4 linked regions of the Elephas maximus indicus genome follow. The protein of the gene in region 2 interacts with the protein of the main gene of each other region in a pairwise test. Links are inferred from orthologs where the notes say so. Each region holds a gene or a part of one and is shown on either strand. Other genes may lie near its edges. The genes, in order: EXOC7, IFT20, KXD1 and NUP54.

Region 1 (7,292 bases), about 43 Mb from region 2:
CTTTTTTGTGTGAGCCAGCCTGCAAGAGCATGCAACATCACGACTGAGGAAATGGAGCATCTGCTTTCCAGGCTTAGCTCTGGCACTTTCTAGACATGTCTCTGTGCCTCAGTTTCCCTGTAAGGACAACAATGCTACCCCATAAGATTGTTGTGCAGTTTACTGGAGAAAACCATTGTAAAGGCTCAGCGAGGTGCCAGGTACGTGCTGATACTCAGATGCCACTGGCTCTGTATACACATACCCCAGGCTTTCCTCCTGAGTGGTAAAATGTGGGGAATGTCACTCCCGTGTCCCCTCAGCCAGTGCCTTATGGCCTGTGTTCTTTTAATAAGCCATCCAGCGCTCGGCACGCACTGCCTGGTGATTATGGTTTCCTTGACCTTCAAGAATGATCCCATGGGCAGCTCGGGATGCTATCAGGGGCTCAGGACTGTCTTGGGGCAGGTGAGGTGAGGACTCCAAAGGTTCTGGATAAGTTAACTGTTTGGAATCAAAACACAGTTCTAAGCAATAGGCTTCCAAATTCACTGCACAGTCTGTTTACTTCGTAATATACTTGAACTCCAGCTGGAAAGACCATGAGGGCCAGGCAGGTGCTGGCTAACATTTCTTGAGCACCTACTATGTGCCAGGCCCTTTATGTAGGTTATGTCACTTAATTTACCTGAAATCCTTTAAGGTGGGGTCTTTTGGAACACTCGGTGTTTTAGTTATCTGGTGCTGCTATAACAGACATACAACGAGTAGGTGGCTTTAACAAAGAGAAATTTATTCTCTCACAGTCCAGGAGGCTAGAAACCCAAATTCAGGGTGCCAGCTCCAGGGGAACGCTTTTTCCCTCTGTCAGCTCTGGGGAAAGATACTTGTCATCAGTCTTCCCCTGGTCTAGGAGCTTCTCAGTGCAGGGACCCTGGGTCCAAAAAACGCACTCCTCTTCAGGTTCTTTCTTGGTGGTATGAGGTCCCCCTGTCTCTTTGGTGGAGTCTCTCCTTTATATCTCAAAAGAGATTGATCCAAGATACAACCTAATCTTGTAGATTGAGTTCTCCCTCACCAATATAACTGCTGCTAACCCTACTTCATTAGCATCATAGAGTTAGGATTTGCAACACATAAGACAAACACATCAGGTGACAAAATGGTGGACAATCACATAATACTGGGAATCATGGCCTAGCCAATTGACACACATTTTTGGGGGACACAGTTCAATCCATAACACGTGGTCTATTATTCAAAGAGGCCCTCCCTTGGCTGAAGTCACACAACTAGTAGGTAGCAGGCCTTTGGTCAGTGGAGGCCTATCTGACCTCATACCTCAACTGTTTCTCTTTCACTCTATGCCTTCCATGGCACTAGAACTAGGCATCACGTGACATACTCCCATGGGAACATATATCCACGGTTCCTAACCTCAAAGCCAGAATCCCGTTGGCCTCACAGACCTCTCCTGGGACCTACCCTGAATAAGATGAGAAGTGGGGATGGGAGGCAGGGGATGCTGGTCCCTGGTAGAGAGGGGCAGGAAGGGACGCAGAGTCTTCTCAGCCACATCTTTTGGTATGGGTATTTCTGCTGGTCCTGACGCTGTTGCTGTGATCCTCAATTTAGAGAGAGTTCACCCTTGTCCACTTGGTGATTACCTCAGAAAGCACACCCCAACCTCCTTCCCGTCGTGCCCTCACTCTCGACGTGTATCCATGAGTTCACCTCTCCCCTTTGGTCCTCCTCCCATGCCCCTGCTCCTCCCTCACACTTATGGCCTTGACCCTCATGCACTCATTAGTTTATTTGTTCATCACAGACATATCGGACACCCGCTCTGGGTTGGGCCAAGGGAGCTGGGGAGACAGGCTTTAGGAGGCGGGCTGACATCTTCTGTTTGCTCAAGGTGACGCCATCAGCTGTGCTGACCTGACTTGTCTCTTGCTTGTGTATGAGTCCTTTCTTGGAAACCAAGAGCAGTCAACTGCGATGACAAGTGGCCCCATGGCTGCCTTTGATCTGCCCTCATTCGGGCTCCCCCAACCACTCCTCTGCTCCACCTCTTGTCTGTGAGATTCAGGAATTGGCCCTTCTTCCTGGCAGAGGCCCCTCTCCCTGCTTCCATCACTCAACTGGGCATGGTGCCCCAAGTGACATCCCAGCCTCTCTGAGGACCTAAAGAATACACTGCCTTCCTGCTTTCCTGCTGGCCTGCCGTCCATTCTCTGTTCCACCTCCCCACCTACCTGTGAGCTAGCAGTGGGGGGCTTGGCTATGATTGGCACCTATGTGTTCTGCACAAGCTTATGGATGAAGTCAAAGGCTTCTGAGGCTGCAGCTGCAGTTTGCTCCTTTTGCTAAAGCAGCTTGTGCTGAAGATAGTTGGGGAATTATAGCTTTTATGGAATCAATGTCTGCTTATCAACACACGTTTTCATTGGGTTGAGAATAATTTAAACTCATCTTGCCATTCTGTCAGGTCCTTGGTTGGCCCAGAATTTGTGCTCGACTAATAACTGAAAGGTTGGCAGTTTGAACCCACCCAGCAGTGTTGTGGAAGAAAGCCTGGCGATCTGCTTCTGTCAAAATTATAGCCAAGAAAACTCCATGAAGTATAGTTCTACTCTGTAACACATGGAGCCACCATGAGTTGGAATCGATTTGATGGCAACAGGTTTGGTTGTTTTGGTTTTCATTTTGTCTACCTTTTAGTTCATGTGGTTGTCATAAATATAACCTGCTTTTCACAGTAGATTTTCTTAAAAACCAGATTGGCAGCTTTTCATGATCACAAATGAGACTCTTGAGCTATTCAGCATGGTGAGGTAGAGGAACACAGCCAGGGCTTTACCTGCTCTGGCTGGCCAGGTGGACTTTGTACAGCTTACATCTCCAAGCCTGAGCTTCCTCATCTGCACAAGGAAGACAAGAGTGGCACCAGACTCACAGGTTTATTATGAGGATTAGATAACACTAGGACAGTTATCTGTATCAGAGGCGGGCAAACAGAAGGCTCTCAGTAAATGGTAGTTGGCTACCAAATTATATACTTGGACTTTGAAGGAAATTGAGACTACAGAAAATCACACACATACGTAGTTTATTTACAAAAATGCAATAGCATTGTACAAACTTTAAAATGTTTGCTCGCAATCAGAGAGGATACCCTTCCTCAAACCTAGAAAGCAAGATGTTATTTTTCTTGAGCATCTACCATGGGTTAGTGCTGTTCAGAGGCTCAGAGAGGTTAAGTGCTAGGGTGCTAACTGAAAGGTTGGAGTTCAAACCCACAAGCCACTCCAGGGGAGAAAGATTTACAGCCTTGGAAACTCTATGGGACAGTTTTACTCTGTTCTATAGGGTCACTATGGGTCATCAGAGTCGACTGGAAGGCAACAGGTTTGGTTTTTTTGGTTTGGAGCTCTGAAGAGGGGGTCCTGTCAGCCTCCCAAGCCCATCTGATTTCCCCAGAGCTCCTGTGAGCCATGCTCCCTGCCCGTCTAAACACCTGCAGGCAGGCCTCTCTCTCCCTAGCTGGTAACAGTGCGCTTGCCCTGCAATCCCTCAAGCAGGCTTGGGGCCTTTCAGCCTTCCTCTTGCTGCTCTCCTAGACCTATGAGTTGGAGTCAACTCGGCGGAAATGAGTACGGTTTATTTTTTTGGAAGTAGGCTCTATCAGAAGTAATTCTCTACCACCAGGGTGGTCCACACACCCTGCAAATAAAATAGCTCTCTCCAAACCAGGCACCTAGGTGCGGCTTGGGGAGCATGCTCCGAGGCCCCAGGATGGATGCCCCAAGGACTCTGCCACCCCAGGTACCTGGCTGGGCCGTGCACAAGTTAGGACTGTGCTCAGGACCCGCTCAAGGGGAAACGACTACACCCCCAGGTTCATTAAATGCGCATGCAGGCGTCTATTGTGTGACACGCTCTGTGCTGTGCTCTGTAGGGAACGCAACGTCGGCGCCTCGACCCTGAATGCAATTGGGGAAGCGAATTCGTCGCCTTCCCAACGGTCTCTGTCAAAACGGTCGGTCTTCTCGCAAGGCCGGCAAGTGACCTGTAACTGTCCTGACAGCCGCAGGTAGCGTAACACAGTTCCGGAACCTTCTCTACCGAGGCAGGAATCCGCACCGACGGGAAACTGCAGTGCGCCAGGCACGCCAAACTTTCCACCCACACTCGCGATGGCCACTTGCTCTGCTGGGCCCCGGGAGGCGCACTTCCGCCTGCCACTCCCAACATGGCAACCAGCGCTCCCAGGGGCGGGGCCAAAAACGGAAGTGGGTGTGGTAGGGACGGGAGCCGAGCGGGACCGCTGGGACCCCATCCTGGGGCTTGGGGTCCGCAGGGTTTGGAGAGATGATCCCCCCGCAGGAGGCCTCCGCCCGGCGGCGGGAGATCGAGGACAAGTTGAAGCAGGTGAGGTTGGGGCTGGGCATAGCGGGGGAAGGGGTGAGGGAAAGGGGCCGAGATTGGGGCCCGGGCATCTACTCCCCGAGGAGGCAAGTGGGAGGGGGCACTCCTAGCGAGGAAATGGGGTCGGGGCGGGGGTCGAGACAGGGGCCGCAGACGCGCTGATCTTCTTTAGTCTCTGGCTCCTGGTCATGTCCTTCCCTCCGCTTCCCCCAGGAAGAGGAGACGCTGTCCTTCATCAGAGACAGCCTGGAGAAAAGCGACCAGCTCACCAAGAATATGGTGAGTTACTCCTCAGCTGGGAGAGGCAGATGGGGCTCCTACCCTACAGGAGAGCGATGCGACCCTGCGCTCCCTGGGCACCCAAGGCCTGGGGTTTTGGCATGGGTGGCGATGGTTGGACCGTGTGGAGTTCTCTGGCAGTAACATGGCATCTAACTTACCTAGCCCCCGTCCCCATGTTCTAACCCGTGTGGAGGATCCTGCAGTCCCCGCTAGTCTGGACTTTCTAAAGCTCTCTGTCCAGGCTTTCCATTTTCCCTTCTCTCCTTCAGCAAACATTTAGTGAGACGGACTAGGTGGGCTAGTCACTGGTCATATGCCACCTCCAACTCAAGTGACAGAAAGTCCCTTATAGGGATGGCATTTTGAGATTACTTAGGCCAGAGAAGACACAGCTTTCACTCCAGAGGACATTAGGGGTAGAAGGAGCTTTGAAGTTGGACAGATCTGGGATCTAGCCCCTGCCCTGCCGCTTACCGGTGTGATTCTACACAGGTAAATCTGCACCTCAGTTAACTTGTGTCTTAGTCTTCTAGTGCTGTTGTGACAGAAATACTACAAGTGGGTGGCTTTAAAGAGCATAAAATTATTTCCTCACACTTTAGGAGGCTAGTCCAAAATTAGGGCACCAGCTATAGGGGAAGGCTCTCTTTGAGCTCTCAGGGAAGATCCTTGTCTCAGACTTTTTTCTTTCTTGGCAATCTTTGCATGGCATCTATCTTTCCCCGTTTGTGCTTGTTTGTCTCTGTGTCTGTGCTCCTGCTTATAACTCAGGCAATTAGGTTTAGGACAAACCCTACATTGATATGACTTAGATAACATAACAAAGACAACCCTATTTCCATATGGGATTACACCCATAGGTATAGAGGTTAGGGTTCCAACACATATCAGGAGGACACAGTTCAATTTCTAACAGCTTGTTTGCTAAAGCAGAGACAGTGCCAGCCTCTCAGTGTGGCGTGAAGGGTGTATGAGCTAATGCATGGGAGCACATCTTGCGCAGTGCCTGGTATACAACAGGTGCTCAATAAATACTAGTTTCCGTCTTTATTCCTAGGTGAGACTGCTGTTGTTAGGTACCATTAAGTCGGTTCCGACTCATAGCGACCCCATGTACAGCAGAATGAAACACTGCCCTGTCCTGCACCATCCTCACAATCGTTTTTTTGCCTTGACCCCATTGTTGCAGCCACTGTGTCAATCCATCTGGTTCAGGGTCTTACTCTTTTTCGCTGACTCTTTACCAAGCATGATATCCTTCTCCAGGGACTGGTCCCTCCTGATAACATGTCGGAAGTATGTAAGATGAAGTCTTACCATCCTTCCTTCTAATGAGCCTTCTGGCTGTACTTCTTCTGAGACAGATTTGTTCGGTCTTCTGGCAGTCCAAGGTATATTTAATATTCTTCACCAATACCATAATTTAAAGGCATCAATTCTTTTTTAGTCCCCCTTATTAATTGTCCAGATTTCACATGCATATGAGGCAATTGAAAACACCATGGCTTCTGTCAGGCACACCTTAGTCCTTAAAGTGACATCTTTGCTTTTTAATACTTGAAAGAGATCTTTTGCAGCACATTTGCCCGATGCAATACATCGTTTGATTTCTTGACTGCTGCTTCCAAGGGCGTTGATTGTGGATCCAAGTAAAATAAAATCTCTTACAACTTCAATGTTTTCTCTGTTTATTATGATGTTGTTTATTGGTCCACTTGTGAGGATTTTGTTTTCTTTATGTTGAGGCGTAATCCATACCGAAGACTGTGGTCTTTGACTTTCATCAGTAAGTACTTCAAGTCCTCTTCACTTTTATCAAGCAAGGTTGTGTCATCTGCGTATCACAGTTTGTTAATGAATCTTTCTCCAGTTCTGATGCCATGTTCTTCATATTGTCCAGCTTCTCGGATTATTTGCTCAGTGAACAGATCGAATAGGTATGGTGAAAGGATACAACCCTGATGCACACCTTTCCTGTCTTTAAACCGCATAGTATCTACTTGTTCTGTTTGAATGACTGCCTCTTGATGTATGTACAGGCTCCTCATGAGCACAAATAAGTGTTCTGGAATTCCCATTCTTCATAATGTTATCCATAATATGTTAGGATCCACACAATCGAATGCCTTTGCATAGTCGGTAAAACGCAGGTAATCATCTTTTTGGTATTCTCTGCTTTCAGACAGGATCCATCTGACATCAGCAATGATATCCCTTGATATTCCATCACCAATGAGATTCCACACCCTCTTCTGAATCTAGCTTGAATTTTTGGCAGTTCCCTATCGATGTACTGCTTTTGAATGATCTTCAGCAAAATTTTACTTACGTGTGGTATTAATGATATTGTTCGATAATTTCTGCGTTCTTTTGGATCATCTTTCTTTGGAATGGGTACAAATATGGGTCTCTTCCAGTTGGTTGGCAAGGCAGCTGTTTTCCAAATTTCTTAGCACAGACAACTGAACACTTCTAGTGCTGCATCCAATCGTTGAGGCATCTCAATTGGTATTCCGTGAATTCTTAGGTAAGACTGGACAGGAGCAATTTGAGTAGATGTAGACTCGGCATTTGTATTCAACAATAAAACAAGTCAGAATCAA
Region 2 (7,918 bases):
CTATACTATAGGGTACTGTACACTTGCCTGAAGTAGAACCCAAATGTGGGTCATCCTGGCTAGCAGGAAACACAAAAAGGAATGAAGAATCAGCAAGAGTGTACCACAGAGGCGGCCAGGGAAAGGCATCCCAAGCAGAGAAAGCAGAGTGGACAAAGGTCTGAAGTCACCGAGAGGGCCTGTCCTGCCCAGAGGATAAAGGGAAAGAGGATGGAAAAGAAGCTGGGTTGGAGCCAAATCTGGATGAGACTGTACGCTAAGCTAAGGAGTTTGGATTTTTTTTTTTCTCTGTAGGCAACAGAGAACCAACAGAGATAGTGTCTGTCTTCCCAGGTCTCCTCACATTTTTGGCTAAAGGATGTGTCAATCATGGGAGAAGAAACACGTAAAACTCACCCTTGTTCTGGCTTAAGAAACAGGCAAAAAACGAACAGAAACAGTGCATGCCCTGTCTAGAAAAGGAGGCAATACTACTTAATTCTAGTCATTGCCTGCTATAAACCAAACCTGTTGCCGTCAAGTCAATTCTGACTTAGCAACCCTATAGGACCGAGTAGAACTGCCCCATAGAGTTTCCAAGGAGCACCTCATGGATTTGAACTGCTGACCCTTTGGTTAGCAGCCCTAGCTCTTACCCACTATGCCGCCAGGGTTTCCACTGGCTGCTATGCCAATTCCAAAAACCCAGGTATTCCAAAGGCTGCCATCACCTGCCCCTGCGACAGACCCTTCCCTCTGCTCCCACCTCCCCCAGCCTCACTGGGTTCCCTTCTAGCTTCCTGAGAGACGTTCTGTTCTGAAGGGGTGATTCTGATGGTGACTGCCGGGGGCAGGGGCTCCACAAGAGGAGCAACGGTTGGAAAAGAAAGCCCCACTGTTGCCAGCACTTCCGATTTTCAAGGGACCAGAAATACGGATTTTTATATGAAATCTGACTTTTAAGTGTTGGTGTCTAAAGTAAGGGGAAAAAAACAAAACCACACAACACTGTGTGGGCCAACTAATGTATGTCTATGGGCTGCTTGTGTATGACTCTGTCCCAGAGCCTTTGGCCTCACTAGAATCCACTGAAGTAAGTAAGGTAGCATCTTCCTTTGAAACATTTAATCATACCAAGATTACTTATAATCAGGCTTTTTAAAAAGATTTGTCTTCCTGGTTGTCCTGATACACTGCACCTCTTCCCCAGGGACTATGCATTCATTCAGAAATATCTACTGAGTCCTTGCTCTGGGGATCAAGTAGTGAACAAAATCCTTTAGCTACTGACCTCTGGACAGACAATAAACAAATAATCACAAATCATAATAACAATATGAGGAAAGTCACACAGAGCTATGTGAAGGTGTAGCAGGAGGACATAATTCATATGGGGAAAGGGTGTCAGCATAAGGCCTCTCCGAAAAAGCGAAACTTAAGCTGAGACCTAAGGATGTCCAAAAGTTTATCAAGTGAAGGGGAAAGGGAGGCAGTCCAGGCAGAAACAACAGCGTGTATGAAGATTTTGAGGCTGTAAGAAACCTGAGGCAGTCCAAGAACTGAAAGGCCACTGTGACTGAAACACCATGAGCAAGAGGAAGAGTGGACAGGATGAGGCTAGATAGCAAGGCTAGAGTTGGATCATGGAGGGCTGTGAAAGCCACAGTGATGAACTTGGATTTTATCTTAAGGGTAATGGGCAGCCAGGGGATTCTCAGCAAGGTGGCATAATCAGACTTGCATTTTAGAAATACAGTAAAACCTGCAAAAGCTGGAACCAATGTAAGGCAGAAACCTGTTAGAGAAGGAAAACTCAAATATTTTCCACTAAAATAAGCGATAAAAAAGTAGCAAGACTACACCCTTTCAAAGGCAGAGACCCAGAACAACAATGCAGTCCCGTCGAGTTCCGGCTTTCACAGGTTTCACTGTATAACTCTGGGTCAGGATGAAGAATGGATCGGGGAGAACAAGAGGGCGGGGCTGGCTACACCACCTTGTTCAAACCTGTAGCCCGAGCACATGGGGCCTTGACATAATTGGCACTCAGTAAATGTTTGTGGCATGAATGACTGTGGGAACAGGTAGTAGGCTATTACAGTAACCAAGGCTTGGAAATTACAAAAAGCGTTCTGATTTGAGATATTTTGTAAGTTGAGTCCATTGGACTTGGCAATGGATTGACTGAATGTGGTGGCTGGGAGGTGAATGAAGGAAAGAGGCGTGATTTCCAGGTCTCTATCTTGAGTCAACGGAATGGCTGGACGGGATAGTTAATGAGATGGATAAGACCAGAGAAGCAGTGTAGGGAGAGGGTTCACAGCCAACTACCAGATTCTCTCCTCACTCCTACCACACACGCCATGTCTGCATCTGGGGAACACAGGGTAAATAGCGGGGGCTGACTTCCCTCCAAATAGATGCTGTGACACTCTCTGTGCCCCCCTCACCCCTCTCCCCCCCCGTCCTCCCAGAGCCATGCTAGGCACAACAGTGAACACCATCCGTGGGGTGTGAAGGAAGGCGCACTGGGCAGAAAGTTTGGAAGACCTGGGCGATGGAGCTGGCTCTGTGCTAACTACGTAAACTCTTGGAACTTATCTGAACCAGTTTCCTCGTAAAATCACTGCGCGCATGAACGCGTAGGAAGCTCCTGGCCTAAGCCGGGTGTAAACACAACTCCCAAAGGAAAAAAAAAAAAAAGGAAAAAAAAGTCGGGCTGAATTCCCCCGTCACTTTTGGCCCGGGACAGCCTCCGGGCACGGGTCTGTCAAGTTCATCTCGCCCCGGGCCCGCCCGGCTCTGCCCCCAGCCTCGGGGGCACGAAGCCGAGCACGCATTCTTCGACCCGCAGTCATGGCCTACCTGCAGGCCCCGTAACGGTGGCGCGCTGCGGTCCAGGCTGATGTCTGCGGCACTTTCGCTCGCGGGTCAGCGGTACTCTGCCCACCTGCCGGCCTCGGCCGCTGCCACGGCTACAGGGCCTGTTTACCGGTGACGTCCCTACCTGACACCGGAAACACTTACAGCCGCCCACCCCCACAGAGCCTGCTGGGAAACGGAGGCCTGAGGGTAAGGATGACTGCCTACAAGACCCAGAGGCCTCTGCGCTGGCCGGGTTGCCGGAAGTAGCTGTGGTCTCACCGCAGAATACTCGGAGGGGCCGGCCCTCTACCCCGCGATACCGTGCTGGGCATGCCGGGCCTTGTAGTCTCGGGCTCCCCGACTGCAGGGCTGGGCCGCGGCTCCGGGCGGAGTCGGCGGGCGGAGGATGTGAGCTCACGCTCGGGGATTGCGGGCGGGCAGGCGGCCGCGGTCCAGGAGCCTGCTAGAGACCCAGCTGAGAGAAGGGAGCGGCGCCCCTGGGGAAGGTGAGAGCAGGGGCTGGAGCAGAGACGGGCCCGCTCGGTATTGGGGGAGAGGGGAGGGACGGCGTAGGAGAGATGGAGAGCTCAAATCCTCCTCTGGGGATGGGCGTCAGGACTGGTCTCGGTAGTGAGAAGGAGTACGGGCTGGGGAAGACTCCACAGTGGCTCCCATAGATGTTGGGGCTCGCTAAATTTCACCAGGACCCTTTGAATAAAGGCTAAGATTCACACCTAGGATTTCTCCTAAAGCCGTTGTCTCCTGCCAAGATTGGCTTTCCTCACCATCCCTTGTGTGACGAATTTCTTGCTCCTTATTCCTCAGGACCCCACCTTCTCCCACCGTATTCGCGGTGGCTGTTTATCCTTTATTCTGCTTGAATCCCTTAATCTTCACTGAGTGAGACACGGATACGCCTCTAGCCCGAAAAAAAAAAAAAAGGCGCCCCCAAATAATCCACACACAAAGTCCGGAAGGAAGAGCACTGAGGGTGTCGCAGGAAACTTCACCTCCCTGGAATTCCCTTCTGGGCGTTACCTGCCGCAGGATTCCTGGAATCCATTGGTTTGGGCGGCATCTGAACTGACGTCATTCATGGGCCCAAAGCAGTTGCTTTTGTAGGGAAGGGAATGGGTTAGCTCTGGACAAAGACTTTTGTCTTTCTCTGTTGACTAGTTTAGCTTTAGTGTTCCTTTGCTTTGGCAGAACATGTATGTGTACTTTCTTTGGTCCTGGGAACGCTGGGTCTAGACACAACAGACAATACAAGGGGAACTTATTAAAACTTGTTAAGGGGTGGGTTTATTTCTTTGGGTTGGGCTAGGGAAGTAAGGTGATCTCCTGCCATTTGTTACTTGCCGATTGGACAGATTGTGGGTGAGGGCCCAGCTCCTCAACGTCCCATCGCTGAGGCAAATTGAAGAGCCTCCCGGACCAACCCACAAAGGAATTCAGTACTTCATACAGCACCTGCTCTGGCCTGTCCTTGCACATTCTTCCCAGGGATCTACAGAAATCCTTTCTGGGACAGCTTAAGTCTTAACAAACCAACATATATTAAATACTTAAAATAGGCATGGCATCGTGCTAAGCATTGTTTGCAGAGCAAAACAGTAAACTGAAACCAGGGCACTGTTACCGGTTTGCATTTACAAGGAACGATGAGCAACTGTAAGCTGCATGTTGTGAGGATTAAATGAGGTAATTCCTCTTTTTCTGTCTCTGTTACTACAGTGGTAGTCCAAGCCATCATCATCTCTTACCTAGACTACTGCTTCCTCTGGTCTTCCCACTTCCTCTCTCACATTCTTACAATCCATTCTCTCCACAGGAGCCAAAATGATCTTTTCAGAACATAACCACATCATCTCACTCCCCTGCTTCAAACCCTCCTGTGGATTCCCATTGCAGTTAAAATCCAAACTCTCATGCCTGCCTTTCCTGATCTTACATTCAACCAACTTCCTTCTTTTTTCTGTGCATCAGCCATTTTAACCTTGTTTCTTTTTGTCCAACTTGTTTCTAGCTGAGAGGCTTTGCATTTATTCTTCTATCTGTCTGGAATGCTCTTTCAGATCTCAGCTTAAATGTCACCTTCCCGAAAAAGAGTTTCCTGGCCACTTATTTAAATTAGTGCTTTTCCCTTATCACTGTTTTATTATCTTTTTTGCATTTATCACCTTCTAAAATTGTCTGCTTATTTGTTAGTTTTTTGTTTATTGTCAGTTACACACACACACACACAAACACACACATGCAAACATGTAAGCTCCGCGAGGACATGACTTGTTTGTTCTCTTCTGTATTCATAGGCTTGGCTCATAGTAGGGGCACAATAAATGCTCTCATTTTATTCTTGCTGACATTATGATGCTTCTTGCAACTTCTTGAAGGAAATGACAATCTCTTCATCTTTCTGTCCCTGCTGCATAACATAAAAATACCAAACCAAACCCATTGCTGTCAAGTCAGTTCCAACTCTTAGCAACACTAAAGGACAGAGTAGAACTGCCCCATAGGGTTTCCAAGGAGCAGCTGGTAGATTTGAATTGCCTACCTTTTGGTTAGCAGCCCAGCTCTTAACCATTGTGCCACCAGGGCTCCACTGCAAAAGGTAGGATTTGTTATTGGTGGTGGTGGTTGTTTTTTTTTCCTAAGTTAATTAAATGGAGGCCTGGTGGCACAGTGGTTAAAGCACTCAGCTGCTAACCAAAAGGTCAGCAGTTCAAACCTATCAGCCACTCCGTGGAAGAAACATGTGGCAGTTTGCTTCCGTAAAGATTATAGCCTTTGAAACCCTATGGGGCGATTCTACTCTGTCCTATAGGGCCACTATGAGTTTGACTTGCACGACGGCAACAGGTTTGGTTTTAGGGTTTAATATGTATTAAATGCTTAGAATTATACCTGGCATATAGTAAACATGCAACAAATATTACCATTTTTCCTCCAGCGAATGAATTTTATTGATTTTTTAGAAAGCAAAAAAAAATGTATATATATATATATGTATATATATTATCTAAATCATAAGGGGTGACCTGGCTTTGCTCTCCTTTTCTTTCCTTGCTCCTCCCTCCTATGAACTCCTGTTAGAGTTTCAATTTCCAAGTCACGTAATTGTTTTTAGATTTATCTTCTGGTCTTTTGTGGCCCTTTTCTTGTTGAGAGGGAAGAGAGGGAAAGATAGGGCTGGGCCCCCTCTCAGGAAAAAAAAAGAAAACAGCCATCCTGTAGTTGATCTACCCTGAAAAACAGTGATAATTTCATGAACTTGGGATAAGACTGGTGTCAAGAAATGGGAAGGTCAGGAGCCCCCAGCAGGAGCCAGGGTACCTCTGCCAAGAGCAGTGTGCCAGCACCCTCCCACCTGCCTCACTGCCTTCTTTCTCTCCTAAAGCTGCTTTCACTTTCCTTCCTGGAACCAGACCCCAGGTGGCACTCAGACTAAGCACTGGTGCTGGCTGCTTCTGCTTATGGAATCTGGTAGGAAGGAAGTGCATCCTGTCCCTCTGGCTTCTGGAAAACTCCTAGGCAGGCTGCATTCCCAGTAGGTTTGGCTGGAAGTCGGAGATCCTGGGAACTCAGAATAACAGCAAGTCTGACTGGCAGATTCCACAGGATGAGGATCTCTGCTGTCAGTCTGTTCCTCAGACCCTCTCTGACCAGTTCCAAGGACTTGCTTTTCTTTCTTGCTGCCCAGAGCTGAGCTGAGTCTCCTGGAGGCTGACTCAACTCTCGCTTGGTGAGGTGACCAGAGCCAGGCTCTGAGAAACTGTGCTCCAAGCATGGTTCCTGGGACAGTAAAGAACATCAGGGAAGTCTTTCTTACTGTTGCCCAGGAAGTTGGCCTCTGCCAGGGAGTACTTGGACTGGTCAGTGTTTCTACTGTTGTCCCTTCTGGTTTGCAGGCTCTACTCTGCTGACTCCTGTCTTCTCTCACATCTTTTGCCCACAGAACTGAGAGTATGAGGCTCTGGTCTCCACTGGCCACTCACCCGTGACCCCTTCCACCACGGTGGAGCCTTCCAAGCCTACCTCCTGCCGTGTGGTAATCTACCTGCAGCGGGAGATGTCGGGGGATACCTGTCTGTGCCCAGCCTCAGGGGCCAAACCCAAGCTAAGCAGCTTCAAGGGTGGAAGCTTGGGCAACAAGTACGTCCAGCTCAATGTAGGTGGCTCCCTGTACTACACCACCGTGAGGGCACTAACTCGGCATGACACCATGCTCAAGGCCATGTTCAGTGGGCGCATGGAGGTGCTGACGGACAAAGAAGGTGAGGCATCAAGGCTTGTTGAGCGGGTGGAGAGAAAAGGAGGAGTTCCTGAAAAGTGACTTCGGGGCGGGGCTTAAGCCTGGCAGATCTAGAGTCTCAACTCACCTACCATAGGACTTCTTCACCTGGAGTCCTTTGTAAGCTTCAGAATCCTTTGAAATTGTATATAGAATGTTGTGCATTTATGCATTTTTCCAGGGAGAAGATCCATACTTGTTTTATAGTCCTAAGAACCATCGCAGTAGTGCCCAGGCAGTGGGCAGGAGAAAAGCAGGGCCTGATGGTTTCTGTGTTGCAAGAGGTGGGCCTAAGTGCTCCTGAGCTTGGACCTCTGGGGCTTCAGCAGAGCCTGGAGGGCTGTGTCTCCCACAGCAGGTGTCGGTTCTTGGTTGCAGGGTGGAGGGGTGAAGAGCAGCCATGAACCTGAGAGCTGGAAGTTCTGGTCCCACTTCTGTCACCACTGTGCCGTGGGCCCTATGTTCGTGTAACTCCTTTTCTTGCCACCTGCCACCAGATCCACCCAGTGACCTTTTGCCTCATGCTTGTTTCTGAGACACCTGGAGGAAAACAGTAATTCTCTGGGTCTTAAACTCTGGTCTGAATCCCTAGGCTGGATCCTCATAGATCGATGTGGAAAGCACTTTGGCACCATTTTGAATTACCTCCGAGATGACACCATCACTCTGCCTCAAAATCGGCAAGAGATCAGGGAACTGATGGCTGAAGCAAAGTATTACCTCATTCAGGGGCTGGTGAACATGTGCCAGAGTGCCCTGCAGGTACGGGGCAGAGCTGGA
Region 3 (6,860 bases), on a different chromosome or scaffold from region 2:
TAACACAGCCCTTGACCTGTGTTACAGCTCTTTGAGGAGGTCCCTCACCTCCTTTCTCTCTCTGCTGCTTCTCTCTTCTTGCCTTTTCTCCTTTCCACTTCTTCCTTCTTTCTGTCTGCCAACCTTTGTGGAATTGTCTGCACATATAAGCAAACTCCTGGTCAATTTCAAAGTATGGCCCTCCCACCAGAGCCATGAACTGACCAATCCCCTCCTGGTAGACCACAAACCGTAAACACTTCTTCTCTGTAAATATACTGACCAATCCCTGCAAGGTGCACACTAATTACAGGGCAGGCTACAGCCCAGGGCCAAAACAAAAAGTCAAGTTGTTTATAAGTCAAGTTTGGGAAATGTCCATCAACCTGGACAAAATTAACAAACCCTCTGGGGAAGAAAACTAGGGCAAAGGTAACTCCTCGAGCCTTAGGAAAAAGCTCTCAAGCTATTTTTCCAAGAACCAAGGCAAAAGGCCACACAAAAGAACTCATTTCACCAGAAGTCTACAGGTGAGGCAGTGATGTTTCAGTGGTAGAATAGAACCTTCGCCTTCCATGTGAGAGACCTGGGTTTGATTCCCAGCCAATTCACCTCATGAGCAGCTACCACCTGTCTGCCAGTGGTGGGTTGCATGTTGCTATGATGCTGAACGTATTTCAGTGTAGCTGCCAGACTTAAGATAAAGTCCCTGGATGGTGCAAATGGTTTGCACTTGACTACTAACCTAATGGTTGGCGTTTCACTACTACCCAGTAGCACCATAGAAGAAAACCCTGGCAATCTGCTTCTATAAAGATTACAGCCAAGAAAACCCTATGAAGCAGTTCTACTCTGTCACTTGGGGCTACGATTAGTCAGAATCAACTTGACAGCAACGGGCTTGCCTTTTTTTTTTTTAGGTTACCTGACTAAGACAGACTAGGAAGAAAGGCCTGGCAATTGACATCCAAAAATCAGCCAGTGAAAACCCTATGGATCACAAGGGTCTTACTGTAACTGATCATTGAGATGGTGCAGGACTGGGCGGCATTTTGTTGTGTTGTGCATGAAGTCACCATGAGTTGGAGCCAACTCAACAACAGCTAACAAGATCCACACACAGGATCATGAAGGGCCTTCAGAGCCTACTTAACCCACACTCCCATTTCCTGAACAGCTGCTGTATACCAAGCACAGCACCAAGCTCACACACTGGAAACTGCTATCATCCTTATTTACAGATGAGAAAACTGAGGTTCAGAGAGACTGAGTCACAAACTCAAATGCCCAAGGTCTGCAGGTTCCACAAAGGGGTGAATCTGAGCAAGTGCTCAGTATCTGTCCATGGAGGAGCAGTTGCTTCTTACAGCAGCTGATTTCTCACAGACTTCTGATTTTTTTTTCCAAGTAGAAACAGAAATCGAGATTTTTTTTTTCACGTGAAATTGCCTCATTTACAAATGCTAGCAACCAGTTTGGTTTTTTCCCCCAAAATATGCTGGAGGCCAAAGAGTAGCTACTGGTATCCTGAACCTGGCTACCAATTTGCATCCCTGTACACTTTCCAGGAAGGTCCCTGGGAGGTGCAAAAGGTTCGTGTTCGACTACGAACTCAAAGGTTGGCAGTTAGAACCTACCCAGCAGTGCCATGGAAGAAAGGCCTGGTAATCTGCTGCCCTAAAGATGACAACCATTGAAAAACCTATGAAGCTCAGTTTTACTCTGTAACATATACAGGGTTACCAAGAGTCTGAATCAACTCCATAGCAACAGGTTTGGTTTTTCCTTTTTCTTTTTGGTTTTATGCCTTCCAGGAGCAACTGCCGCAGCTGTCAAAGCCCTCCCCTCTTCCAATAATTGCTGTTTTTTGAGCTCCTACTGCACCAGGCGTGAACACCTGTGGTCTCAGTATTTCCAAGGAAGCATGGTGACCCATGGTATGAAGACGGCATTTGGGCTTAAAGAGCAGGGTAACATGGTAGGAGGCCCACAGCTAGCACTTGGCAGACACAGGTGCTGCAGGAAATGGTCCACTTCAAAGCAGGACTTTTGCCTGTCTCTGGCTCCCACGTGTGAGGCCTGAGGAGTTCATGCCCCTCTCCAGCTGCCTGTCTTAGGAAGTCCTCTCTGACTAGCGGAGCAGAAAAAAACCCAGCAGGGGATCTCTCTCCTCCCTTCCCTGCTCTAAACATATTATGGATGGGAGAAACCGGCATTGGAAAGTTTGTGTGACCTTGGGCAAGTCACCTCACCTCTCTGTTTTCTCACCCAGAAAACGAGAATAATGATGAGTGAGGGTGTCACATCGCTGTCTGATCGCTGTCTGTGAAGACTGGGGACAATGGAGATTAGAGAGGGGTCAGAGGATGCTGATTCTCCAGCGGGGTTTTGGAGACGTCCTGGGGCGGGGCCCACAAGCTGGTATTTTAACGAGTGCTCCCCCGCCAAGTGCCAAGAATACGAGCAAACATTTGTACGGCGTTGCATATAATTCTCGATCACTTCTATGAGGCAGGGAATATTGTGCCTAAGGGAAACCTCGGTATCTTGCCCAAGGTCACATGTCAAGGCGCCGCGACTCCACCCAAGTCTTGGAGCAAAAGCGCCCGGACTTCGCGACCCGATCTCAGGACAACCCTCGAGTCGGACGAGGTTCGCACATCCCTCGCCCCCCACTACAAAGCAGGAAAACTTGGGCGAAAGCCCGGCAACTCCTGGCTTCAGGTGACAAAGCACAACCTGAACAGAAACGGCCCCAGCTTCCGCTCCTCGGATCGGGATCCGTCCTGCGGCGTCACTCGCGCACCCACTGCGCAGACAAGGAAACTGAGGCCTGTGCACGCAGGAGGGGGGTCCTGATGTGGCCAGCGGCGCGCCCCACCCCGCGGCAGCCCGAGGGCCGCGCCCGACCAGACCCAGCTTCCTCGACGCCCCGGAGCCCCCGTCCCCACCCCAGCCTCGGTCCAGCGGCGGCTGTGGCGGCACCTGCACATCTGGCGGTCTTGCTCTCGCTTCCGGGATGGCGTCCGCGCCGCCGCGACGACACCACGCACCGTGCGTGCGAGCGCGCAAGGCAGTGACGTGAACTTGGACTCCGTGCGTGCGTGCGTGCGTGTGAGGAGGTGCAACCGGAAGGGCGGGGCTTAGACGCAGCCACCCCCTTTCACCGGTGCGTCCGAATAAATAGCCAATCAAATAATCCTATTTGTGCCTGCGCTGCGCTCCGAGGAAGCCCGGAAGTGGGGAAACGTGAGAGACACTTCCTCCATTTTATGGATTGGTAGGCTGAATCTCTATCAGGGCTTCGAATGGGTTCAGTCATGGCAGACGAACTCTGAGTAGATATGTATGTTTACAATTTCGAAATCCTGTAATGAGAGACTTGGAAGAGGCATAGTGAGCCGTTTTAGGTGCCTCATGCTTAAGACTGAATTATCGGCAGAATTGTGGAGAGCGACAGGAGCTCTGGTGGCGAAGTGGTTAAAGCGACCAACTGCTAACCATAAGGTTGGTGGTTCGTAACCATCAGTGGCACCTGGGGAGAAAGATGTGGCAGTCTGCTTCAGTAGAGATTTACAGCCTTGGAAATCCTACGGGGTCACTATGAGTCAGAATCAATTCAAAGGCAGTGTGTTTGGTGGAGAGTGACACATTCAAAACAGCATGGTTGGCTGCCATCTTTGAGCTGGGCAGTGCTGTTTCTGGCTATGCTCAAAATCCCAGCGTCAAGAGATTCGGTTGCTACGCAACGTGTATGCTGCTCCTGCTTTTTAAGAGGGAGATTAAGTTTCCAGCAGGGCTTCAACCTGTAATTTTTACCATTCTGGGTATCATTCTGGTTCACCCAAATTCTAAAAATTTGGATCTGGTTCAGTTTCTCTTCATCAGCCATGACTTAACCTGGAAGAACCGTTTGGAAGCCCTGGTTCTGAAAAGCAGCAAGTACTGCCTTGAGGCCATACAATGTTCCAGTGGCCTTAGATACACCCAGACCCTGGTACCCTGCTTTCCAGACTAAGAATTAGCGTCACCTGGGTTCCAAAATCCCTGCTCCACCTTTGGAGACCTTTTGCAAGTGCAGGAACCCAGTCAAGAGCTTTCTTGGGATTTAGTTGTTGTGTCTTTTTAATCTCCTCCAGCCCATGCAGTTCTTCAGTCTCTCCTCATCTTTTGTGATATTAATACTTGTGAAGAGTACTGCTCAGTTTTGTAGAATGTCCCTCAACATCAGTTTGTCCCGTGTTTCCTCGTGATTAGATTGATGGTACATCTTTGGCAGAAATCCCACACAAGTGATGCTGTGTCCTTCTCAAGATTTTTTAGATTGCTATTTAAGGCATTGTCTCTCCATTTCTTTACTGTGAAGTTATTATGTTTTTCTTTACAAATAATAGGTATCTTATGGAAAGATACTTAGAGACCATGCAAATACCCTGTTTGTCGTATTTTCACCTGCAAATTTTAGCACCTCTCCATGGTCCTTGTGGCCACAATTATTAGTGGGGTATTTGCCTAATTGCGATCTTTCTAGTTATTGATTTGGTAATTCATTAGAATTCTACTGTTCATTCTCCACGTATTTATTGATGCAATTATTTATATCACTATAAACTCACTGTTATTTTATTCCATGGATAATAAAAAAGTTTTTTTAAATGGATAATAGCACATAATTATTCAGTGCTGTTTCTGCATCCTTTTGACACAAACCCATCATTCTCTGAGCATTTCCTTGCTTTCTGGCGCCACAAGATGTTCTAGGTTCTGGCACAATCCTTGAACCAGCCATTTGTCCTCGAGCCTGGTTCCATTTCTGTACGAATGGTATTTAGAAACCAAGTTCTGGATGCTGGATGTGCTCATTGCTACTGGGATGTCACTGTTTCTAGGCCCTCTCTGCAGTGAGAGGTAGGAGATAATAGCTGTATGTTGTTGTTAGCTGCTGTGGAGTTGGCTTTGACTCATAGCAATCCCATGTACAATAGAATGAAACATTACCTGGTCCTGTGCCATCTTCATGATTGCTGGTATGCTCAAGTCCATTGTTGTATCTGCTACATATCTTGAGTGTCCTCCAACCTAGAAGGCTTGTGTTTCAGCACTACAATGAACAATATTCAGTTGTGATTTATAAGGTTTTCATTGGCTAATTTTCAGAAGTAGATTGCCGGGTCTCTCTTACTAGCCTGTTAGTCAGGAAGCACCACCGAAACCTGAGAGATAAAAGGTGGTACAGGCCCCACCCCAGGGAAACGCCCTTTACCTTGGATCTGGGGTGGTGATTTGGGTAAGGGTGGTGTTACAATCCCACCCTAATCTTCTTTAACATAAAATTACAATCACAAAATGGAAGATAACCACAGAATACTGGGAATCATGGCCTAACCAAGTCAATACACACATTTTTGGGGGGACATAATTCAATTCATGACACCAGGTTAGATGCGTGAACCAAATGGGGCAAATAGTAATTGTTCAAGAAATGTTAATAACTCATTATTAGTTATTGAGATCCTCTGGTGTGCATATGTTATACATTATGCATGTAATCACTGTATCAGTTTTTTAACTGTAAGTTGTAGTGATCATGGTATCTACCTCTAAAGGGTGTCGAGAGCTTGGGAGATACGTATATAAGTCCTCAGGTACATGGAAGACTGTAAAATCCCTGAAATGGGACAGAGTTCTCATTCCAATTCTGTCACATTCAAGCTGGATGGGTTTGGGCTAGTGGCTTAACCTCCCTGTCATGGTTTAAACTGTGTTCCCCCAAAATATGTGGCACTTTGGTTAGGCCTTGATTCTCAGTGTTGTGTGGTTGTTCTCCATTTTGTGATTGTAATTTTATGTTAAGGATTAGAGTGGGATTGTAACACCCCTGCTAAGGTCACATGCCTGATCCAATGTAAAGGGAGTTTCCCTGGGGTGTGGCCTACACCACCTTTTATCTTACAAGAGATAAAAGGAAAGGAAAGCAAGCAGAGAGTTGGGAACCTCATCCCACCAAGAAAGCAGTGCCAGGAGCAGAGCACATCCTTTGGACCGAGGTTCCTTTGCAGAGAAGCTCCTAGACCAAGGAAAGATTGATGACACGCACCTTCCTCCAGAGTCCACAGAGAAAGCCTTCCCATGGAGCAGACGCCCTGAATTTGGACTTGTAGCTTACTAGCCTACTACTTGGCTTTGGTAAAGCCATCCACTTGTGGTATTTCTGTTATAGTAGCAGTAGATGACTAAGACAGTCCCCAAAGCTCGACGTCCTCGTTCATAAAGTGGGGATAATCATTGTACTAGCCTTGGAGGGAGGACTGTTATGCAATCATGCAGGTGAAGTACTCACCATAAGGGTTGGCATGCCATAAATCCTCAAAAATGGTTTGTTGTTGTGTGTGCCGTCAAGTCGATTTTGACTTATAGTGACCCTATAGTACAGAGTAGAACTGCCCCATAGGGTTTCCTAGGGTGAAATTTTTATGGAAGCAGAGCACCAGGTTTTTCTCCTGTGAGGTGGCTGGTGGGTTCAAACTGTTGACCTTTATGGTTAACAGTCAAGCATGTTAACCACTGTGCCACTAAGGCTCCTTTCAGTAAATGGTAGGTAATATTATTACTCCCACACTCCACTGCATCGTTTGTTGAAAAGTCAATGAGGACCAGTATTTTTATAGATTTAGTTCAACAAACCGTTTTGAAATTTGTTGATTAAGCCCTCCCATTGCTTCCTCTGGGTTTGGGCCATATGTTGGGGATCCAGAGAGCACTCTATTCCTGCCTAGCCCTAGAGGAGGAAGGGAGACAGAGGTAGACACAGACACCCCCAGCCCTGTGGGGATCACTACTGCGCTGGGAGTGAGCAGGACTCAAGGCTGGAGGAGCCTGAA
Region 4 (7,192 bases), on a different chromosome or scaffold from region 2:
GGCGCCGTGGTTAAGAACTTGGTAACCAAAGTCGGCAGTTGAAATCCACCAGCCACTCTTTGGAAACCCTACAGGACAGTTCTACTCTGCCCTATAGGGTCTCTATGAGTCGAAATCAACTCAACGGCAATGGGTTTGGTTTTTGGTTAACTTGAATTGCATATATTTCTGGTACGCAGGACAAAGATGTATCAATACAGTAACATAAATCTCTTTGATAGTAGATCATATAATTCTGATGTGTAAAATTAATCAAAAGTAAACTGCATGTTGTATGCTGCAGTTGTTGTCAGTTGCTGTCGAGTCAATTCCAACTCATAGCAACCCCATGTGTGCAGGGTACAACTGTTCCATAGGGTTTCCAAGGCTGCAGCCTTTTGGAAGCAGATTGCCAGGACTTACTTCTGAGGTGCCTCTGTGTGGGTTTGAACTGCTAACCTTTCTGCTAACAGTCCAGTGCTTAACCATTCGTGCCACCCAGGAACACCTATATTGTATGCAAGCATAGCCAAACACTCTCTTTACTTGTAGGTTCTACTGCAGTACAGCAAACTGTAAATATTTTAATAAAAATCACCTAAAGTACTAAACACTGATCTTAGTCTTTTTCATTACTCCTCACACCCATTTAATAACTACGATATACTCTGAATTGGCTCCACAAAAAAAACTAGTCAATATCTTATCATGCTCCACAATACCAAGAATATTTATTAGTAACAATGACTCTGCAATGATACAAAATAAAAAAAGCAAACAAGAATTTCTATCAGCCCTTTGCTGAAGGCTACGTTAACTAACATAAATGTAGTTAAAACAGTTACATTATCAGAACTCAAAACTTAACAGTGATAACACTAAATAAACAATGAAATCAAACAAATACAAACACGTTTATTATTGCTGAATTATGAGCTGGGTGGCTTTATTTGGAAACAAAATAATGTGTTACCCAGTGCCAATTTTAAGCAAACAAAGAAAAGTAAACATACCAAGACAATAACATGTAATGATGTCAAATATATCTTAGATAATGGATTCTTTTATCTTTAGAATTTTCAAATATTCTTCAAACTGTTTTCAGATGCTAAGGTGATATTTACAGTGCAGTAATAAGTAAATGCTCAAAATACCAGACTTCCCAAATAAGTTTTAGGGAATAAATAATGCTTACCAGATGCATATAATTGGCACGGGCCTAAGCGGCATAATGTAACAGATACAGACACTAAATTCATATACGAGCAGCTGAAAAAGAAGATTTTTCTATAGGGTCATTTTATGTAAAGTACACATAAGCCTATTCTAAATTTATATATATATATCCATTACAGTCAGTGTTTTGCAAAATTTTTAACTAGCTTCGAATAATTCATTTAAATACCAAAATCTTCAAAACTATGACAGAATGCAAAAATGTCTATCCTACCTTTTAGAAATCGATGCTGTCTGACAATAAAGAAAATTGCTCTCTCAGGTCATTTCCCAAAAAACCAGTAAAGAATTGGGGTTCTTTCTACAATTGTGTATTTTATAGAAATCATGTACCCTAATCTGCTGAGTTGACCAAAGAAATACATTATTTACCAGTTAAAAAACAAGAGAGTTACTGCTGTTCGTATAAGACTTGTTTCTCTTGGGAAACACAAGGACGATCAAATAAAATCTCAATGAAAGATGTAGGGAAAATGAAAAATGAGTGCAGGAGTCCAAGAACCCCAAGAAAATGGGCCTGATCAGTGAGGTTACATTTTTGGAAGGGAAAGCTAATAATCTGGAAGATATATTCTATTCAAAATAATATCCCATTCCAAAGTCTTATCATTTGGAAGCTGTATTTTGTTCAATTAAATGCAAATTTAGCAAGGGAACATTATGATTTGCAAGACTTCCGAGAACCACATCTTTTAGGACAGTCAAAACCTGAAACGAATGTTTTTAATTCAACATTGGGAAATGAATTTCCTTTCCTTATTAGACAACTCACTATTCTTTCTCACACTCTAGGAATCCCGAAATATTATTCTTGGACTCCGGCTTCCAACACTCATTACACATACGGCCCGCAGTATCTACCTGCACTCGCCAGACTGTTACCAAAATTGAACGGAGTTGCCGAGGTTGTGGAAACACCGAAATTCCCAATATTAAAGTTCACTGCAGGATTAGCAGTTAATCCGAAACCCCCAAAATTAAACCCACTGGCGGTGGAGTTGGCAGTCTCAAGCCCACCAAATCCTGATAGGCGTGTAGGCAAAGAAACAAAAAATTAAATTAAAAAAGGGGGAGAGGAGAGAAAAAGAAAAGAAAGCAAGATAAGGATTAGAAGAATCAGCAAGAAGTTTTACAGACAAACCTGACTTTCTCCAAACAAGAAAGCAGAATAGGTAGGAACAGGTGAAAGGAGGAGCCAGTAACCAGGGTCCACGGGGCCAGGAGGAAGGGTCCCGCCCCTGCAGGGCGCGGACGGAGCGAGCTGCGGGGCAGCGCCTTGGTCTCCCCAGGCCCTATCCTCCCGCCAGGCGCCTGGGCTGAGGCGGGAGGAGAAGGCGTGTCCCGGGCAAGGGGGTAAGCGAGCCCCTCGAGTGTCCGCGAGGCCGTTTCCCCGGCGGCGGGAAACCAACCCCGGGAAGACAGGGCCCGGCGGGGCCCACGCGTGGCGCGCGAGCTCTGGGTTGAGCCTCTGGCCCCCGAGCCCTCCTCTGGAGCCTTCCTGGCCCGCTCCGCCGCCGCCGCCCGCCCTCTTCCGATGTCCATAAAGTCTCCGCGCCGGCCGGAGATCCCAGAGTCTCCAGGCCGGGGACCGGCGGACTTAGAGGGCACAGGAAGGCCCAGAGGCCGACCCTTCTCCCGGACGGAAGGTCTGGGAGGATCACTCACCCGAGGGGGCCGCGGGGGCTGCAGCGGTGCCAGACGTGCCCGAGGGAGCCCCAAAGTTGAAGGCCATGTCGCGGAAGCAGTGGACCAAGGCGCCGCTCCTGGGACGCTCCGTGTGCTTGGCTTTTCCGTCCGGCAGGGAAACTGCGGCCCCGATAACCCAGTTCCGCTTCCTTTTTGGCCCAGCCTAAACCTAAAACCAAACTCGCTGCCCTTGAGTCAATTCCGACACATAGTGACGCTAGAGGACAGAGTAGAGCTGCCCCACAGGGTTTCCAAGGAGCACCTGGTGGATTCAAACTGAGGACCTTTTGGTTAGTAGCTGTGGCTCTTAACCACTACACCACCAGCGTAGAAGGTGGGAACGTGCCAAGGACCTGCGTAGAGGGTGAAGAGGAAACTCCGTGAGTCCAGCTTGCTTCCTGAGCGTTTTGTGTCATTGCGGGGCGCGGGTAGTCACAACAAAGGTAATACGCTAGGAAGCTTGAGAGGGAATGCTGCCTGAGAGCCCTTCAGATGTGCCTTAAGGACTTATCTTGGAAAGGTGTGCAGGGCCTGAAGTCATTATTGTAGAGGTAGGCAGTAGACACCTTGAATATACATGCCTTGGTGTTATCGTTGAAGATGTAGCCTTTTCGAAGAGCAGTCCTAGGAGGACCCAGGTTGGGGTTTAGGAGGTCCCCCCAACCCCGAGAAATGCTATTTGAACCCAGTCCTGAAAAATGAGTGGGCGAAGTAGAAGTAGGAAAGAGGTGACATGTAGGAAGAACAAAAGATAACAGTAATATTAACTGTAGGGTAATGCTATTCAGCGATATGCATCCCCTCCCTAATGGAGTCAGCTTTGCTCTTCCCTGAAGCATGCTGGGGATGAATTCGGGATGGACCTGGACTAAGGTAAAAGGCCAGGAGTGGCATGACTGGGCCAGCGGCCAAGGCCGAAGAATGCCTTAGCAACAAGAAGGAAAACATCTGGGCCTGGACGCTAAGTCCCTGGGAGCACTGACTGCACAAGGACGTGGTAGAAAACGATGAGACTTTGTCCCAGCTGGAATGGTATATAAGCTTGGGTCCCTTGCTAGGTGGTTGCAGAAAATATTCCATCCAGGCGCCACTGGAGAGAGCAGCTGCTTGCCTGTGTGAGTAAGTTTCCCTGAACATATGAATCTGGAAAGGGCTATGTGTCAGTTCTTCAGATTATCTGCCAGGATGCACAGTGAGGGTCTTTCCTTGCTGGGGCCATCCCCCGACATTAACAAACACTTATCTTGTGTTTCCTATGTGCCAGACACTCTTCTAATCATTTTACATCTTTTTAGTTTACTCCTCAATTACCCTGTGAAGTAAATTACTATTATCACCCCCATTTTATGGAAGAGGAAACAGCCACAAAGGGACACGCTGAATCCAGTCCGTGATGTTAATCAACAAGCTGTACCATGAGCACTGAACAGTGAAGGGTATATAACCTGCCCCTGTGAATGCTAGTAAATTTCTATTAGTCCTTAAACTAATGCAAGCCAGATTTGGTCTTCCCCACATGACCAGAAGGACCAGCTGTGACCACATAACTTCAGTAGAGGATGCAGCAACATGAGGAAAATCATCGCCTGGACCCTATTCTGAAGCCAGAGGTCCGACAAGAGTCACATCACCTGTTTCATGGCCACCTTCTAGAATTTTCCCTCTCTAGTACGCCCGTGCAGCTACCATCTTGCTGCCCAAATCACATATAAGCCCTGCTTCTCCGTAGCTTGGGGAGCTGGATCTAAGGAACTTCCTCTTGGCGCCTTGCTCTGCACATTGCAATAAAGTTACTTTCTCAAAGACCAGTGTGCAGATAATTCGCAAGTCTGAGCACAGCAGACAAGGCCCACCTTCTAGGGTTCAGAAATGGGGAGAATGTCCCCCAGATGAGACAATGAGCTTTCTAAATGCTAAAATCCGTGCCTTCAAATTTTATTTGCGGTAACATTTAATCCTGCTAATAACCCCGTAAGGAAGCTCTGTTATTAACCACATTTTGCAGGTAAAATGAGAGGACCGAGGTTTAGAGTTGCTTAGTGAAAGGAGGTGGAACCAACAGAATGCTATAGACAGAAGCACCATGCATCCCTCTGCAGCAAAGACCTGAAAAACTAAGTAAAGCAGATACAAATGTCAATCTTGGAGCCCCTAAGTACAAAATGAAGGAATAAAGAACTCGATCAAGCACCATATGGAATAAAAAACTGAGAGAGAACAGAATAGCAAGAGCTACGGAGTGGAGGTCCCATACCAGCTAATGTGGCGTGATTGACCATCTTGGGATATAGCTGCCAAAGGACTCAGACAGGAGTATGGGAAAGTAACTCCATGGAGCTCCCAGCAGGAGACAGAGCACCCAATAACCAGGGATACACGCTTTCCCACTCTCCATCCTTCCCAGTGTGGCATTCAGTGCTTTCCATCGGGCCATGGTTTCTCGGCAGGAGAGACACTAGCACACTGCTGCTGGGGTCCGTCCTGCCCCCACCAGCCGGCCCCTTCAGTGCCATTTTTTTTGTTGTTCATTTGTTTGTTTTTTGGTTTGTATTTTTGTTTTTTTATTTTGGGGGGGGCTTTTTTGTTATTTATTTGTTTTTAATATTGTTTGTGGGGGCTTTTTTTTTAATTGCTTTTCTCCCTCCCTTCCTTCCTTTCCTTTCTCCTGCCCAGCTAGCCCTGTGTGCCATCCCCTCCCCTTCTTGATGGGCTGTGGTTTGTCTGCTTTGTTTTTTTTTTCTTTTCTTTTCTTTTCTTCTGTTTCTTCTCTCCCTCCTTTCCTTCCTTTCTTTTTTTCCCACCCACCCAGTCCTGGGCACCACCCAAGCCTCTTCTGGAGGGGCCGTGCTACACAGCTCAGTTGGAGAGTAACTGTGCATGGCCTCCCCAAGTCTGCGCTGCTGTCACCAACTGGCTCCCTAAGCAGAATTTTATTTATCGTTTTGTTTGTTTTCTTTTTCTTTTTTGTTATTCTTTCTTCTCTCTCCCTTCCCTTCTTTTCTCCCATCCACCCAGCCCTGTGCACTACCTTCAACTTCTTGGTGGGCTGTGCTGTACCACTTGGTTGGAGAGCCTCTGGCACACAGCATTCCCACATCTGTGCTGCTCCAACAGGCCAGCTCCCTCAGCATCATATTTTTTATTTTTCTTTATCTTTCCTCTTCTCCTTTTCCTCCTCCCTCCAACCTAGGCCCTGCGTTGCCTATGTCCCTTCCTGAAAGGCCGTGCCGTGCCACCTGGCAAGAGAGAGATCAGCTTGCAGCCACCCCAATTCCGCCCTATCCCCAATGGCCACTGCCCCCACCACCACATTTTTTGGTTGCTGTTGTTTTTATTATTTATTTATTTTATTTGTTTGCTGGTTTCTTATCTTTCTTTCCCCTCTTTCCTTTTTCCACCCACCTAGCCCCATGCGCCACCCACACCTCTTCTTAACAGGCCAAGCCACACTGCTTGGCTAGAGAGCCACCAGTACATGGCCTCACCAGGTCAGCCTCACCCCCACCCACCGAATCCTACTGAACTGCCATTTAATTTTTTTTAACTTAATTTTTTTGCTTGTTTTTTATCTTTGTTTCTCTCTCTTCTTTCTCTTCTTTTACCCACCCACTTAGCTCTGCACATCACATCCTCTCCTTTCCCTCCTGCCTATTTGCACTGTGTGCTGAATGCCATGCCCCTGAGCAGTAATGACTCAGTCTCCCAGACCCTGCCCTGCACTGCTGTCATGTCCCCCCAAAAATATGTGTCAGCTTGGTTAGTCCATGATTCCCAGTATTGTGTGGTTGTCCTCCATTTTGTGATTGTAATTTTATGTTAGAGGATTAGGGTGGGATTGTAATACTACCACCCTTACTCAGGTCACCTCCCTGATCCAATGTAATGGGAGTTTCCCTGGGGTGTGGCCTGCACTAGCTTTTATCTCTCAAGAGATAAAAGGAAAGGGAAGCAAGCAGAGAGTTGAGGACCTCATACCACCAAGAAAGCAGTACTAGGAGCAGAGTGTATCCTTTGGACCTGGGGTCCCTGCACCTGAGAACCTCCTCAGCCAGGGCAAGATTGATGACAAGGAATCTTCCTCCAGAGCCGACAGAGAGAGAAAGCCTTCCCCTGAAGCTGACACCCTGAATTTGGACTTGTAACCTACTAGACTGTGAGAGAATAAATTTTGCTTTGTTAAAACCATTCACTTGTGGTATTTTTGTTATAGCAGCACTAGATAACTAAGACAGCTGCCCTCCAACCTCTTCCCGTCACCCCCAGTTCATGCTGCAAACTACCCATCCCCGCC

The links.
Region 1: the proteins of IFT20 (region 2) and EXOC7 interact in binary tests that used the Homo sapiens proteins (3 or more experiments, as listed by UniProt). The two-hybrid records come from large-scale screens. The link is inferred for Elephas maximus indicus from reciprocal best matches to the Homo sapiens genes IFT20 and EXOC7.
Region 3: the proteins of IFT20 (region 2) and KXD1 interact in binary tests that used the Homo sapiens proteins (3 or more experiments, as listed by UniProt). The two-hybrid records come from large-scale screens. The link is inferred for Elephas maximus indicus from reciprocal best matches to the Homo sapiens genes IFT20 and KXD1.
Region 4: the proteins of IFT20 (region 2) and NUP54 interact in binary tests that used the Homo sapiens proteins (3 or more experiments, as listed by UniProt). The two-hybrid records come from large-scale screens. The link is inferred for Elephas maximus indicus from reciprocal best matches to the Homo sapiens genes IFT20 and NUP54.

What each region holds. Positions count from the first base shown.
Region 1 is NC_064837.1:66,346,759-66,354,050, reverse strand, and holds the start of EXOC7 (exocyst complex component 7), read left to right. Parts: upstream 1-4,278; 5' UTR 4,279-4,350; coding exon 4,351-4,410; intron 4,411-4,620; coding exon 4,621-4,686; intron 4,687-7,292. UniProt on the Homo sapiens protein: Component of the exocyst complex involved in the docking of exocytic vesicles with fusion sites on the plasma membrane.
Region 2 is NC_064837.1:23,671,427-23,679,344, reverse strand, and holds the start of IFT20 (intraflagellar transport protein 20 homolog), read right to left. Parts: upstream 3,010-7,918; 5' UTR 2,845-3,009; intron 1-2,844. Other genes in the region: TNFAIP1 (BTB/POZ domain-containing adapter for CUL3-mediated RhoA degradation protein 2), read left to right, coding at 6,917-7,121, 7,731-7,900. UniProt on the Homo sapiens protein: Part of intraflagellar transport (IFT) particles involved in ciliary process assembly. May play a role in the trafficking of ciliary membrane proteins from the Golgi complex to the cilium.
Region 3 is NC_064821.1:38,493,102-38,499,961, reverse strand, and holds the start of KXD1 (kxDL motif-containing protein 1), read right to left. Parts: upstream 3,018-6,860; 5' UTR 2,973-3,017; coding exon 2,931-2,972; intron 2,905-2,930; exon of another isoform or gene 2,719-2,904; intron 1-2,718.
Region 4 is NC_064823.1:81,130,305-81,137,496, reverse strand, and holds the start of NUP54 (nucleoporin p54), read right to left. Parts: upstream 3,010-7,192; 5' UTR 2,948-3,009; coding exon 2,881-2,947; intron 1-2,880. UniProt on the Homo sapiens protein: Component of the nuclear pore complex, a complex required for the trafficking across the nuclear membrane.